Caenorhabditis elegans: one gene and its partner. The protein of the gene in region 1 interacts with the protein of each later gene in a pairwise test. Each region holds a gene or a part of one and is shown on either strand. Other genes may lie near its edges.

Region 1 (5,776 bases):
TTTTTTGTAGAATTTCAATTCTAAAGGAGCGATTTTTTTAAAAATATGATATTTCATTTAAAAAAAATTAAATCACCTTTCTTCGCACTGTTTATTCAACTCAATGTTCAACAATTTGGCTCCCGTATGTGAATTATCCGCTATCGGCTTGTACATCATTTGTGTATAGTAATACTCTTTGTCTCCTCCTCCGGGACACCTGAATCTGATAGAATCCGATGTGAATTCGATTTGTCTCTTCAACATTCTTATAGGTGTGATGCGAGGTCTTGTGATGGTCACGTCAATAAAGAAGTTTTCCAGCATCTGAAAACAGGATATTTAAATATATTTTAACGTTGAAATTTGAAACAAAAGCAAAATAGTAATTATTATACATACGTGACATTCTAATTGCTTATCAATAAAACTAATCTGGCAAAAAAAATCTCCCCTCCCGTGAAGTGAAATCGAAAATCAAATTATTTCGATTTTAGTCCAACCCTAGGAACACATTTCGATTCGCATCAAGTAAGTGCTTTAACAGGAAATTCTGTGAAGGCAAGCGGTAGCTGAGATCAGTGGCAAGAAGAATTTCTTTAGAACATCCTAAAGAGCTGCTGAAACTCTTTGACTGAAATTTTGTGATGTGCTGGTAGGAGATTCTTCTAGCCACTGCTATTTTCTAACATTTATTTCTTCTTGATATTCCACTATAATCGGAATCTCCTATCTAATATTCATTTAAAAAAATGAATAAGTATTTTGCAGCTCACTCAAGATGGCATACGTCGAGAGCTTCTACATGGATGCTAGTTTGGAGAGCGACGCCGACGTTCTTCCAGCATCGGAGAGTGATATGTTTGAGGCACAATTCATTGCCGATGTCCCACTCGACGGCGACGCGATCATTCGTATCGTTGATTCACAACTCGCTTTTGAGCAACGCAACCACGTTGTGTCGGACTATTGCACCATGAAGGCCGCGGAGCTCGAGAAGAACCCGAATCAACTGACAATGAACAGCTCAGTTATGGACAATCAGCAATATTTTGCCCCGCCAAAAAGTGAATCGTCGCAATATGCATGGAACACGAATGATGTTGTCTCTTCTCATCATCAATATGCTGCTCAGAGCCCAAACATCTACACCAACGACTATCACACCAGTGAACCATCCGATTATGCCTATATATAACTTGATGGAATGAGTAAACATTTGTATTTTGGGTTTCTGTATTTACTCGTTATTCAGCCGCAAAATTAGAGAAATCTAGACTTTCGCGACGAGACCCAGCTTATCTATTTCAAGGTGGTCGTAGAATCGTTTAATTTAAGACTTCTCAATCCCTATTCACACATTAAAAAGCAAAACTACGATACTTGAATAGCATTAGTTCTGAAATAGAAAGATTAAAAGTAAAGAAAACCTCGATTCAAACGAGTATTTGAAAAAGGAGAATAGAGGGAAAAAAAAGTTTATCACAGGTTGGGCAAAGTTTCAATAAATATCGACAAGTGTTTGAGAAATAATTACAAGATGTCAAAAGGAATAAATATTGCAAATTTAATAGTCTTAATCAGCATCCGAGTCTGACAAATATTCAGCATACTCTTCTTCATTCACACGATCCTCTTTCATTGCTTTGTCTAGAAGAGCAGCGATATCAGCATCCTGGAATTATTTTTTCTATAGAAAACTTCTATAAAAAACAATATTTACTTTTGTCACATCACTCGGCAGCTTTTGATCTTGATTCCTTACAAATGGATTGGCTGACGAAGCGAGAAGAAGTCTCACACATTCCACGTGGCCTTTGTAGGCCGCTGCATGAAGAGGCGTATCACCGAGTTTGTTCTGAAAATTTAATTTTTAGAGATTCGTTACATGTGAAAGAATATTTCAACAAACCTGAACCGAAACTGCAACTTTTGGATCCTTCAACAACGTATCCACTGCTGGCGCGTGTCCACCATGTGAAGCCCAGTAAAGTGGTGTAGCTCCGGACTTATCGAGGGAGTTGACGGATACCCGCTCTCGAAGACATTCAGCCAGCATATCCATATTTCCACGTCGAGCAGCTTCATGTAGGGGATTCGGGAGCTCTTCCACATTCTCACTGATCACTGAAAAAATAAATATTGGAATTTCTAGAAATCTCGATGAACTCGGTGCAGTTTCGAATTATAAAAGAGGAGGAACGACGGTTTTGCAAAATTGAGATGCGGTTTGATGCATGGCCATTTAAAAATGATTTTGTACTAATGAACTGACGAAAAAAGTTCAAAAACAAGTAATTTAACTAAAAACTGTAAAACCATGTGAATTAATCTACGCTTCTCATCGAACCGCGCCGCAGCTTTGCAAAACATTCCTGATTGTGCTGTAAGTATTCACCATAATTAGCTGGAACCAATCCTTTTTTGCCTCCGATGCTTGCTTGGAACCAATCTTTGTTCGGCTGCTCGTCGCTGACGTACATTAGATCTCCTTCACTGAATGTCAGCTCTTGAGCCTGAATTTATTCAATAATTGGGTTGTTTTTTTCAAATTAAAGCTTACAGATCTGGCTTGAAAATCATAAAGTGCTCGATAAACTTTCACTCGTCCTGGCTTTGGAGCTGGTGGTGGTGGAGCCATTGGTCGAGCTGATGACATTCTGATAAATTTTAAAAATGTTGAAAAATTCATATTTCTAATCAGAACAATAATATTTTTAAAGTAGAATATATTCACCAAAACAAAGGTGTAAAAATTGAAGAATAAATTTTTTTGATCATTTGAAGTAGAAATCCGTTTATTAGCTATTTGACAGAGAAATTTAATACGTTGAGACCAGTTTGAAAAATGTACAAATATCGTAAGGAATTTATGGATAATAGAAAGTCAACGGTCCGCATCGTTCTTCTCGAATTCGACGAATGTGACGAAGGCACGGAATTGCTTTGGCAAATGATGGACGAAGACGGTCTTGGAGCATTGGTCGAATGTCGGTTTCTATGAAGAATAACGTTGTTGGAAGTCTCTTTCTTGCTTTCATTTCCTGAAAAATTATAGATTTATTTTCAATAAAACAAGTAAAACAAACTTACAAGTTCTCGCCAATTGTCCAAAACCTCCCTATCGCTCCTTGTCAGCTGTTTATTAGTTTTCCCCAGGATTTTGCTCTTTTTCATCAGGAAATCATCCATTTTGCTCACTATTTCATTCATCATTTCCAGCGTTAACCGGCCTAGTTGATACTTTGGAATTGTTTTGAATTCTTCATCCGTTATCTGTGGCACAATTCTGATATCATTTTCTTTCGGTTTAGACGATAATCCTTGTTCATTCGGTTCATTGGTTTCGACAAGAGCAGATGATTCTTTACTTTGAGGTACCAATTGTGATTTCACATCGACAATCGTGGAAGCTTCAACTTTGATTCCGAGAAAATCATTCAATTGACTTTTGGTGCAGTTCATACATGTTTCTTCACAGTTGTTTTCCAATTTTTGTTGATCAAAAGCTGCATCATCTAGTAACAACTTGATATTCTTCATTGTATTCAAGAGAGGGCTGATTGCTGAAAGAAGTGATAATGAAGAATGCGAGAAGTTGTGAAGAAAAGTAAACGTACTTGTTTCAAAATTGGGAATATTTTCTCGACATATGCGGAAATTTTCATCGGTCTCTTCGGTAATCCGATCAATAAACGATTCCATTCTGAAACAGGTAATGTTTTAATTTTTAATTTTTAATATGTTATGTTTTGTAGTATTAGAGATATGTTTAATGTATCAACAATTGAAATTGAATCAACGGAAAAGAGCCAAATTCGATAAAGTCTAATTTTAGGGAAAAAGGAAGCAGTGGCCGTTTCTGCTGGATTTAAGAAATAAAGAATGCAGTAGAGCAAGAAAAAAATCTGTTCCAATTTAATTAAGAAGTTATAGCTAATTAAAAAGATAAAACAATTAAATAAATAAAGACAAGACGGCAAGGAACGATGAGTCATATTCGCGCCGTTTTAATTCAGATATACTTCGAGAGGAGTACACATCCGTGGGCGATAGAGCAGCCACAGTTCGAATTTCTAGGCCACGACCATAAAAGCGAATTTTCAAATTTAGATTTTTATCTTTGTTAGAAACGTTTTTCTACAAAATAACATCATATTTATACCTAACCCAATGAAGATAAATGGAAGAAAAAGACGAATTTGATTTATTTATTGAAAAAGCTGAAGAAGTGGTTCGTCTTTTTGAAAATGGGCAGGACGTGAGTTAATTGATGCGATAACGCGTTATAACACTGAAAAATATTCAGTTTCTCTCATCTTTTAATTTTTCAGGTTCGCAACGAAGCAGAAAAATTGCTCAAAGATGCTCTTTCTGTTGACGCAGAATGTGTTCCGTCCACATGTGTAAAGCCAGATAAAATCTGCAAAATCTTAAATGTGAGTTGTTTTTATTTCAAAAGAGATAAAAAATATATTTAATTCTCAGTATCATATAAATAAAACAAGCTCCCCACCAGTTCAAAGTATTCGAATGCGCCATTTTACTCGATCTCCAACAGAAAATAAAAAAGTAGGAGTCATAAATATCTCAATTTTCTGATAAAATGATTATTTTTCAGATAATAAACACAATAAAAGTACAACCTAACTCGTCTTCATGTCTACGATGCACAGTTTTAATAATAATTTTTACCCTTCTTTGTCTCATAGCTTATCATTTCTACTTTTTGCGATTACCAACACGTTGTCCTCGGCCAACGTGGTGAATGGCTTTATAAATGTACAGCAATTTGTTCAAGACATTTGTAATTCATTCAAAATAAGCATGGAAAAGATCGAAATGTGATTCAATGGGAAAACATAATGAAGTAGAGTTTTTAACCGTGGAGAAAAATCGATACAAATAATAGTATCATAATGAGGAGATCAAGCGAGATCGAATCAGTCTTCGGTAGTGACGGCACTCGCCGTGCACTTTTCCATAATTTCCAAACTTTTGTCGTGGTTTTTAGAGAGCATTTTTCTGTAAAAAATGTATTGTATATAGAGTTAGGAAGAAGAAATTACGTACAATAGTGGTAAATCATCAATTGGCTGGTAAACAATATCTTCAAGAATTGGTAAAGGATCTCCTCTCTCCAAATGAATTTTTCGAAGTGTTGCTTCCTGAAAAAAACTTTCCAGTTTAACACGATTGTTTTTAACGTACTTCAGTTTCTGCTTCAGTGTTTGTTGGTTGTGGATATACAGCGAAAAGTTCGAGTTCTTCTTTCGGATCACTTCCCAGCCGGACAATTTCCCGTTTTCTTTCGATATCCTACAATAAAAACATTATATTTTGAAACAAGTCATATATAAGGAAGTGTAAAAATCTACAAAATGGCCCGTTTTGAAATTTTAATGTAACTTTTGACTCGAAGGCTACTGTAGAAATATAGAAAAATGATTAAATTATTTTGCCGAAAAAAAAACGTTGTAGATTTTTTCGCACACTCTTGACACAAAATTCAATCATACATTTATAGACCGACGACATTTGTGATAATGTGATGCTGTTCGGTTCCCATTCCACGACTTGAAGCCACATTCACATTCGAACAGAGTATCCCCAGTAGTCGTCAGATCAAATCCTTCTCGTTCTTTGTCTCCAGCACAGGCAACTTCATCGTTTATCCGACGCCCTTCCAGAGTTTCAAAGAATCTACGTTGAAGTAGGCCTATCTTATTTCTTTTTGACATATGCTCTCTTTCAGTTTCATGGACGGATTTCCGTTCAATCACTTGCCACAGTGAAT
Region 2 (8,914 bases), on another chromosome or scaffold:
AATTGTAATTCATTCTTTGCCCGAGAGGAGTATATGACCGAGAATCTCAAAACACTTATTTGTGCGCGACTTCAAATTAGATGAACAAAGAGGTTGATGTTCGGAACTTTTATCTAACATAGTTCCCATGAGCAAAATTCGAAGAGTTGTCAATCACTATGTAATTGGCATTTTCATTTAAAAAAACAGAAAGAAACCTTAATCAACTCATCACTTTATTAAGCGAAAAGCGGTAAGAAATTGAAACACAAAAAAAGGAACGGGCTGTGAGAAGGGAGAAAAGGGATGAAGCTGTACTTTTATCAAGACATCAAGTTATATATAAAATTATGAATTAAAAATCTGACGGAGAGAAGGTGATACACGTAAGAGAGCAGAGAGAACAGGAGAATCGAAATAAACTTATGAAAATTGGCACATAATGCATCATTTTAGAACCTAAGAAGCCAAGTGATATATACTAATTGGTGGAGTATATTCGTCAGTCATTGTTTTTTGTACCGGTCATGTAAAAAGTGAACGAGAGCTATAAATTGGGCAGGCAGGTAAACAGGTGAAGGTGAACGGGGATAATCAAAATCTGCTGGTCCATTCGACTGACGGTGGTGGCGGTCCTCCGTTTGGTGGGGGCGGGCCAGGCGGCGGCATACCCAGACGAGGTGGGGGTCCTCCCATCAATGGTGGTGGTCCTTGACAATGTGATCCTCCGCGTGGAGGAGGTGGACCTCCTCTCCAACCGTTCATACCACCATGTGGGGGTGGTAAACCACCCATGGGTGGACCTCGATTTTGTGGAGAATCTGAAATTAGCATATTTTAAAACAGAAAAAGACTTTTCAAAGTATTCTTCAGATATCAATTACTAAACTCACCATGATAATATTGAGATGGTCCCATTCCAGGTCCTCCGCCTCTTTGAGGAAAACCGCCTCTCATTGAGGATCCTCTCATCATTGGAGATGGCATTCCTCTTCCTGGACCAGGTGGACCTCCGCGGAACATTGGCGGTCCTCCTCTCATAGGTGGTCCTCCTCGCATCGGTGGCCCTCCACCTCGCATTGGTGGTGGCATTCCTCTCATTGGAGAATTCATTCCTCTCGGCGGTGGTGGTCCACCTCTCCCTCTCATCATTCCGAGTGGTGGCATTCCACGCATCGGTGGACCTCCTCTCCATGAACCTTCATGTCCTCCCATCACTGGCGGAGGCATTGAATACTGATTTTGAGATGGTGGCGTTGGTACGTTCCTATCGATATCATCTGAACCGTTATCAGTATGCCCATTATTAGCGGTCGGCAACGGATTCTTCTTTTCCTCGCTGGGAAGAGGAGGTGGAGGAGGTGGCAATATCATTGATGGTGAGAACAATGGAGGTGGTGGTGGAACTGGAAGAGGTACACCAGTTGGAGCCTTACTCATCGTCGGCGGTGGAGGTGGAGGAGGTGGAACCGGCGTAAGATCATCAGATGGAGGAGGTGGAGGTGGAGGTGGCGGAGGCGGTGATGGGGAAGAACTTCTACTCGTTGAGAAACTATCCGAATCCTCATGATTGGCTTGGATGTGTTCATTTGTGTTCCGACGATTTCCTCGCCGATTATTTCGCTTTTTAGAGCTATTCTTCGGTGGAGCAGGACAGGATTCGGAAGGTTGTGGTGGATCAGATCCGTTTTGAGGAGGAGCTGTAAATCACAGAGTTTATTGGAATTATTCATAAATGGTGAATTTGAAATCATGAAGTTTCTTACTAAAGAAAAAAAATTACCTGTATCCATTTGCAAAAGAGGGTGATTTGGACGAGGTCTCATCATGGAATGATCGCGTCTCTCCATGTCTCTTTCCATCATATCAGTTCCATTATGGAACGGTGGTGGTGGTCTATATCCACCTCTTCTTATATTTCTTCTTTCTTCGACTTCATCCATATCTTGTGCAAATCGTTTTTCCATCTGAATCCGTCTATTCATTTCCATCAACTTTCTCATATCGGCTTCAAGTGATGATCCAGTGAGCACACTTGCTGTGAGCGCAGGTTGTGATCTATCTCTGATGTGCCCGGGACCGGATCCCATAAGAAGTTCCTGTGGAATCGGAGCAACCATCCCTCGTCGGATCGCATCGGCCACTATTTCATTATCCGTCATTCCGAGTCCTTCGAGGAACTGAGGTTGCTGAGATTGTGTTGAAGTTGCTGTCGGAGGTGGTGGTGGAACCGGTGGAGGAATTGTGAACGGTGTTGGAACAGGTACCGGAGCAGCCACAGGAACTATGTGCGATGCCATTGGAGTGACACTTTGAGCCGTCATCGGATGCTGAGATTGAACTGCAGCAGACGATGATGGAACATCCATGGAAGCAGTGACAACATGAGGTGCCGCCGATTGTTGAGAGAAGATTGGAGGTGGACGGCTGAAGTCGAGATTCGAGCGAGAAGGAACTTCGGCGCCATTGAGAGTTTGCTCGCTTATAGATGGTTCTTCCAAATCATCGCTAGTCTGAGTCTTCTGCTTCATCTTTTCAGCCTTTTTAAGTGCTTTCTCCTCATCAATTTTCTCTTGTATAATTTGCTTGATCTTATCTTTATCAGAATCCGAAACATCTGGATCCATCATAAAATCCTTTGCAGATGCAACGATCTCTTCTGAAAAAATATTTAAAATTTTTGAATATATAGGAAAGTTTACTCACTAATTTGTTTCGCGCTGCTCACAATTTGCAGGATAAATTTAACTTTCTTGGAAGCCAAATCTTCAGAAGTAGATGGTGTCGAATGATTAACTGCTTCAGAAGTTGCATCTTCAGCATCTTTAGAACATATTTTTGGGGATATTGAAGCTCTACTATCCTTTTTCCACGTTTCTTTTTCTTCATTTTCTTGAGTCTGTTGTCTCCAAGATGTTTGCATCAACTTCTCCCGTTCAATCCGCAACAGTTGAGATTTCATTTCAAGATCACACACTCTAACAGAATATTGAAAGCGTTCAGCAAAATTTGGACGTAGAACAACGATCAGCATGAAACAATTTTCTGTTGTACCAATGTTGTATTTGACTGGTGCAAATGTATCTGAAAATTATTATTTTTAGTTTTTTTTTTTCAAAAAATATGTTTTTTGGAAAATTGATATACTTTAAAAGAAGAAAATTGTATATTTATCATTTTTTTCATAAAAAAAACTTTGTCAACGTTTTTGAATTTCTCGTTACTTTTTTTACAAAATTTTTCGATTTTTTAGATTTTCGAGAAAAACGAAAATAGGTAGGTTTTTCCGATTTTTAGAAAAAAAACATTGTTTTTTTTTAGAAAAAATTAGCTGAAAACTTTGTTTTTTTTTTAGAAAAAGTTGTATGTAAAATTTTTCGATTTTCTATTTTTCAATTTATCGACTTTTCGATTTTCTCTGAACAAAAATTTCAAAATTGGACAACTTCTCGACAACACTTCGTATATTGTAATGTTTTATTACATTTTTTAAGAATTATTATTAATTTAAAAAAAAAATATATATATATATAATTATTACTTTAAAAAATTTTTTTATTGAAAATAGATGTCGAGACCTGATACAGTATTTTTTGAGACAAAAGTCAAAAAATTTACCATGCAATATTTCGGATCCTCTATGCGGAAAAAGAAAAACCGAAAGAATCTCATCTCCAACCGTGAAATCGAGCTGATATACAGTATCCTGATCCAAATTGTAATCCAAAACCTTCTGATAACTGTTCGAAGTACCAGCAGAAGTCAGTTTGAGCACAGCAAATGCACATGATCTAGTATCATTCATTGCATTATTAGATTCTATTAGAAACTCTTGTAAACGACGAGGAGTGTGCAAATTGAATGTCTTCTCAGCGAGATATCTATCGAATTGACGGAATAGTGGACGATTTTCATCGGATTGAGCAAAAATTGGAGTAGCAATTGAATCAAATGGCTCATCAGCCATGTAGATTCGTATCGGAAATTCCCATTCACTTCGAGTTTCGACTCTTTCTCGCATGTCTACATCCTTTTCTTCATTTTTATTTGAATCGGAAGGCCCTTCGAAATCATATACTGGTGTAAAAGATCCACCACCAAAGTCATTATCATCTTGATCTTGATCTCTTTCCTCACGTCTTTTCTGCCTCTGTTTCTCCCATTCATCTCGTTCTTCAGCTTTCCTCCGATGCCTTGATTCTTCTTCTCGTTTCCGTCGTTCCATTTCATCCTGACGCATAGCTTCTCGAAGTTCACGATTTCTCTCCCGCCGCTCTTCCAGATCACGTTCTTCTTTTTGCTTCCGAAGCTTTTCTTCAGCATCCGCCAGCTGCTTTGCTTGACATATTTTGCAAGTTTTTGAGAATGCGTGAGACATGTGCTCGCCGGTCGTATCACGAGAATCATCTCCTATGATTGAATCGAGTGGCTGAAAATTAATGAATATTACCCAGACGCAAAACATTGTCAATTTTGATCCAAAAATACGGTAACCGGTCTCGTCACGATAAATTGGTATTAAATGAAGAATAATTTATTTATTTACAATAAACTTTGATATAAAAAGAAAATCACATAAATTTTACAACTCGCGAGAAAAGTTAAGAAAAATCAATAAAGATTCTGCAGTAACACAAGTTTGAAACTACAGTACTCTTTAAACTTTAAAGTTTAAAGGCGCACACCTTGTCATATTTAATCAAAATTTGCCGTGTCGAGACCGGGAACCGTACTCTTGGAGCAAAATTTTTGAAATAACTCACATTTTTTGATGCATTTGACCTTCTTTTAGCTTGAGTTAATCCGCCGACTGGCTTTATCTTCCAGCACATTGGATTTCTCAAAGAATTCGCATCCAATGCAATCAATTTTTCCACAGATAATCGTTTTAACACAACCGCCGTCACGAAATCCTTGGCACTTTCAGCTTCAAAATTGTGAATGAACTGCTGTTTCCAGACACGATATTTAGGATGAGAAATGTTACGATCACATTTATCAAATAACATTTCTTCGAGTTGATCAACAAGATCTTTCATTTCCTTCCGATCAATTCCTTTTAACTTCATCCTATCAATTCGAGCAACGACAGCGGTCTCCATATGAGTTCGATTGGCTTGTCGCAAAGAATTCGTGGTTTCTGGCTTCTTTTTGGGAATCGGTTTCGAAAGAGCAGCTATTTTCTTTTCTCTATCTTTTGCTTTTTCCTTTTCTCGTTCAGCTTCTTTCTCCTTTTCTTTTTCCTTCTTTTTTATTGCTTCTGGATCCAATGGCTCTGGATTTTTACTCGGTACAGTACTGAACGGCATCCAATTCGGAGCAAGAAGGAAAAATGAGCAAAGTTCGCGTGAATACACACCCGACGAAACAGTCTCTCCAGTCAATGCATTCATTACTGTAATAGTTTCAGCATTGGGATTCGTCTGAAAGTAAAATATGTTTAGATAAAATTAAAATTAAACTAAAAAAAACAAACCCTCATAACTTTTTCTACTTTTCCAGCAACGCATTTCACTGAACAGTAGTAACTACTGGCTCCCAAATAATGTTTCCACGTCTCCTCCGTCACCATAGACAACATCTTGTCGCAATTTACACATTTACTGAAACAATGAAAAATTATTTATGATACAACAAGAATTTAACATACTTTCGAAGATGAGAAGTGCTAGGCGACTCATTTATTGGAGGTATCCACTTTTTACGTGCTTCCTGATAAAGTGCTGATAACGGCCTGAAAATTGAAAAAAAAATTAAAATTTGATAGATATTAAAAATCAACTAACGTTTGATATGTCAGTATGAATGGGCAAACTTCAGAATCGCAAGTGAGCAATTGCTCTTCAGGGAATAATTTTATCTCGTCAAGATATGTCTGTGATTGACCATACTCTTTCAATAGATCGCGTTCCTCCAGAAAATCATTAAATTCCTTTAACTCGGCGTGTGTTGTTGAAATGCAATTGTATTCGGTTATAAGATCTTTACGTGACTTTCCACTGCAATCAATGTGCTGAAGATGTTTCTGATTGATTTGAAAAGAGCTTGAAGATGGTTGAGTAGAGGAATCACGTCTATTCCGTCTGAAATTATATATTTTTAGTGAAGAATATAATTTTTTTGGCGATGAAAAATTTGGAATTTGTAGCTGTCAAAATAATTCGTAATGAGACTTCTCAAAAATTACTCAATACTTTTTTATTGGGTTCAAAATTGGGAGGAATGCTAATTTTTGCTAGAATCTACAATTTTTCCCAGCGGCCTGGTTTTTTTTAATTAGAAAAAATACTACAGGTCAACTTTTTTTGGAAAAAGGGGAGATTTTACTAAAAACATAAAATCCTAGTTTTTCGAAACTTCAAACCGAGAAACCTCATAGCTAAATTAGTTTATTTTTGCACAATTTGTTCGACATATTTATGAATTATTCTGCTCATTAAAAGGTAAAAAAGTATTTTTTAATATTTTGGAAAACCGAGTTTTTAATTTTAAAAAATGCGTACTTTTCTAACAAAGCAGGTTTATCGTCATCATCACTATCCACAGAAATCTCTTTCCGTTTCCTTTTTCGTTCAGCTTCAACCTCAGCCTCTCGTTTTCTTCGTTTCGAAGCAGCCTCCTCTGCTTTTCGATTTCTTTCTTCCAGCTCTTTCTGTCTTTGTTTTTCTTTTTTCGCCTTCTTTCTTTCCTCTTTCGCCCTTCTTTCTTCCTCCTCTTTTTCTTTTTTCTTCTTCATTTCCTCCTCTTTTCCATCATCTCCCACATCCTCGTCAGAATCATTCTCCAGCGCCCTTTTCGACCTTTTACGTTTTGAAGATGATGAAAAATCTGCCGAATCAGAATCTGAATCGTCCAAATAATTCAAAATTGGAGGTTTTTCCTTCTTCTCGCTTTTCCGACGTTTCTCTTTCGACTTTGGTGTAACTTCCACGTCATCTTCTGAAAAACTGCCGATAGTCTAATCATTTATTCGAACGGTCGCTCACCTTGTTTTTCCCTTTTATTTTTCTTTTTCTTCCCAGGACGTTCACCTTTCATAAGTGCAAGAGCGACAGGAGCCTAAATTTCAAATAAAGTTTCCATGTGATATTAATTTAATAACTTACAGATTTCATGATGGCATTTTTGAGTAGTTCACCCATGGCTGGGCTCACAAGTTCTGCTTGTGGCGTAGTTACATTTGAATGTGATTTCATTTTGTCTGAAAGGGAAATTAGTATGTATATTATATCAATTTTAAAAAAATGAATAGAAGTATATCATAATCGTTAAAACGAGTTAACAGTGTAGTACATCATATTCCGAAAATTAAAAAATAATGTTTTATACATTTTATGAACCCGTAAAAATATACAAAAAATAAATTAATCAGAGTCAGAGAAGGATGCCGTAGATTCTCCAGAAGATTCATAATTCCGTGAAGTCTGTGCCTGTGGACGAGATGGTTCATCACCGCGTTTCAAAATTGATGGGTCGACGCCTTCGGATTTCATTTTCTGTATTACACCAGCTTCAAGCACTCCCTAAAAAAAATTACAGTATTATTAAAGCAATTTCAAGTGGATAAACTCACCAATTTCAGCATTTTGAAATATTTACTATAAGCCGGGTCGTCTTTGATAAGAACCGTCGTAGTATGTTCTTCTGGTTTCTCTTCCACTGTTTCCTCCACGATTTGTGAAGAGCTGGGATTCGATTCGTGAATTTCGTCTATTTCTGGTGCTGATGATGGTGTGGCGGTGGTTGATTTATCCTCCAAACTCATTCCTGCCAATTTCGATTCCATCAAGCGTAACTTTCGATCGGCAGTGTCTAAACTCTGCTCTGCCTTTTCCAAAATGTCTTCCATTTTATTTCCGAAATTATTGAGCATTTCTGTCATTTTCATGATGAGACAGTTGAATGTTACTGCTGTACGGTGATGATCGATCGGAGGAACCTTAAAAAATTTAGCTTTAAAGTTTTATGATGAGATTTTAAGATATTACCTTGTTCAAATCGATTGCAGGTTTGGTTCTGGAGCTCGCATTCATTGCTGGTGATCTAAAAATTAATTAATGATGCAATTAATTACAAGAAATGGAAATATGAAAAAGGCACAAACCATATAAGTTAGATTCAAAGTAAATTAATTAGATTAATTTGCGAAAAATACTAGAATTTATGATAAATTTAGAAATCAAAATAGGATTGACGGATAAATATGTGCATGAACTAAATAAAAAATCACAAAACGGCAATGGAATTTTGATATTGCGAGAAGAAAGTGAGATAAAGCCTTCAAGACTTTTTGGGAAGGGCGATAGGGCAACAGATTCAAGAAGAGAATAAAAATTTACAAATTAATTATTTTGGTAGATCAACTACGCGGATTTCTTCAATCGGCTCAATTTGATCAATATGACCAATATTTTGATTATGGCGGGGCGTACTTTGAAGTGAGCTATCACTGCTTGGAACGGGAGATCTGTCGAGCACTGAGCCAAGATTAAGAGGAGGAAGACGTTCGTCGGGAGTTAGAATTTCATTAAGCGTTTCAACCATTGGCACAATATCTTCAAGAATTATCTGAAAATTAATTTTTGATAAACGGAGCAAGTTTTTTGAGCAAAAATGTAAGGTGCAACATTTTAAAAATCAATTTTGGTATGATGCATTAAATATTGTTTCTTTTTCTAATTCGCACCTGAATACTACAGATGTCATCGTGCAATTGATTAAGTCCGCTCAATGCAGCCATAAAACCGTCATGTTGTTCTTTATGAGCTCTTGTTTCTTCAATAAGTCTGATCATTTTCGCTTCAACACTCTTGCAAGTTGCTGGAATTTTAGCTTGATCTGCTGCCACTGCTTTCGCATTAACGGCAAAATGTTCTTGTAATCGTGTTGCTAGTCTGAATATGTGACTTTAAAACTTTGAATAAAAGGAATAAAT

Evidence for each region. Proteins that work in one complex are often made in the same cells at the same time.
Region 2: the proteins of Y106G6H.14 (region 1) and F59E12.9 interact in a two-hybrid assay, tested with the Caenorhabditis elegans proteins (2 studies listed by BioGRID).

The regions. Positions count from the first base shown.
Region 1 is NC_003279.8:10,470,751-10,476,526, forward strand, and holds Y106G6H.14 (Osteoclast-stimulating factor 1), read right to left. Parts: upstream 2,640-5,776; 5' UTR 2,639-2,639; coding exon 2,543-2,638; intron 2,496-2,542; coding exon 2,378-2,495; intron 2,107-2,377; coding exon 1,892-2,106; intron 1,838-1,891; coding exon 1,703-1,837; intron 1,655-1,702; coding exon 1,556-1,654; 3' UTR 1,446-1,555; downstream 1-1,445. Other genes in the region: duo-3 (ubiquitinyl hydrolase 1), read right to left, coding at 77-306; Y106G6H.13 (Reverse transcriptase domain-containing protein), read left to right, coding at 761-1,177; ska-1 (SKA complex subunit 1), read right to left, coding at 2,850-3,023, 3,073-3,545, 3,600-3,684; Y106G6H.16 (Dynein light chain), read left to right, coding at 4,163-4,240, 4,314-4,418, 4,468-4,551, 4,601-4,747; row-1 (C2H2-type domain-containing protein), read right to left, coding at 4,923-5,004, 5,053-5,147, 5,191-5,298, 5,499-5,776.
Region 2 is NC_003280.10:5,639,863-5,648,776, forward strand, and holds F59E12.9 (TFIIS central domain-containing protein), read right to left. Parts: upstream 7,181-8,914; 5' UTR 7,176-7,180; coding exon 7,086-7,175; intron 7,039-7,085; coding exon 6,966-7,038; intron 6,919-6,965; coding exon 6,483-6,918; intron 6,063-6,482; coding exon 5,766-6,062; intron 5,714-5,765; coding exon 5,630-5,713; intron 5,583-5,629; coding exon 5,456-5,582; intron 5,403-5,455; coding exon 4,743-5,402; intron 4,409-4,742; coding exon 3,598-4,408; intron 3,064-3,597; coding exon 2,686-3,063; intron 2,639-2,685; coding exon 1,763-2,638; intron 1,680-1,762; coding exon 873-1,679; intron 801-872; coding exon 574-800; 3' UTR 201-573; downstream 1-200. Other genes in the region: ddl-1 (WASH complex subunit homolog 3), read right to left, coding at 7,344-7,502, 7,553-7,918, 7,968-8,012; sam-4 (BLOC-1-related complex subunit 5), read right to left, coding at 8,326-8,547, 8,666-8,873.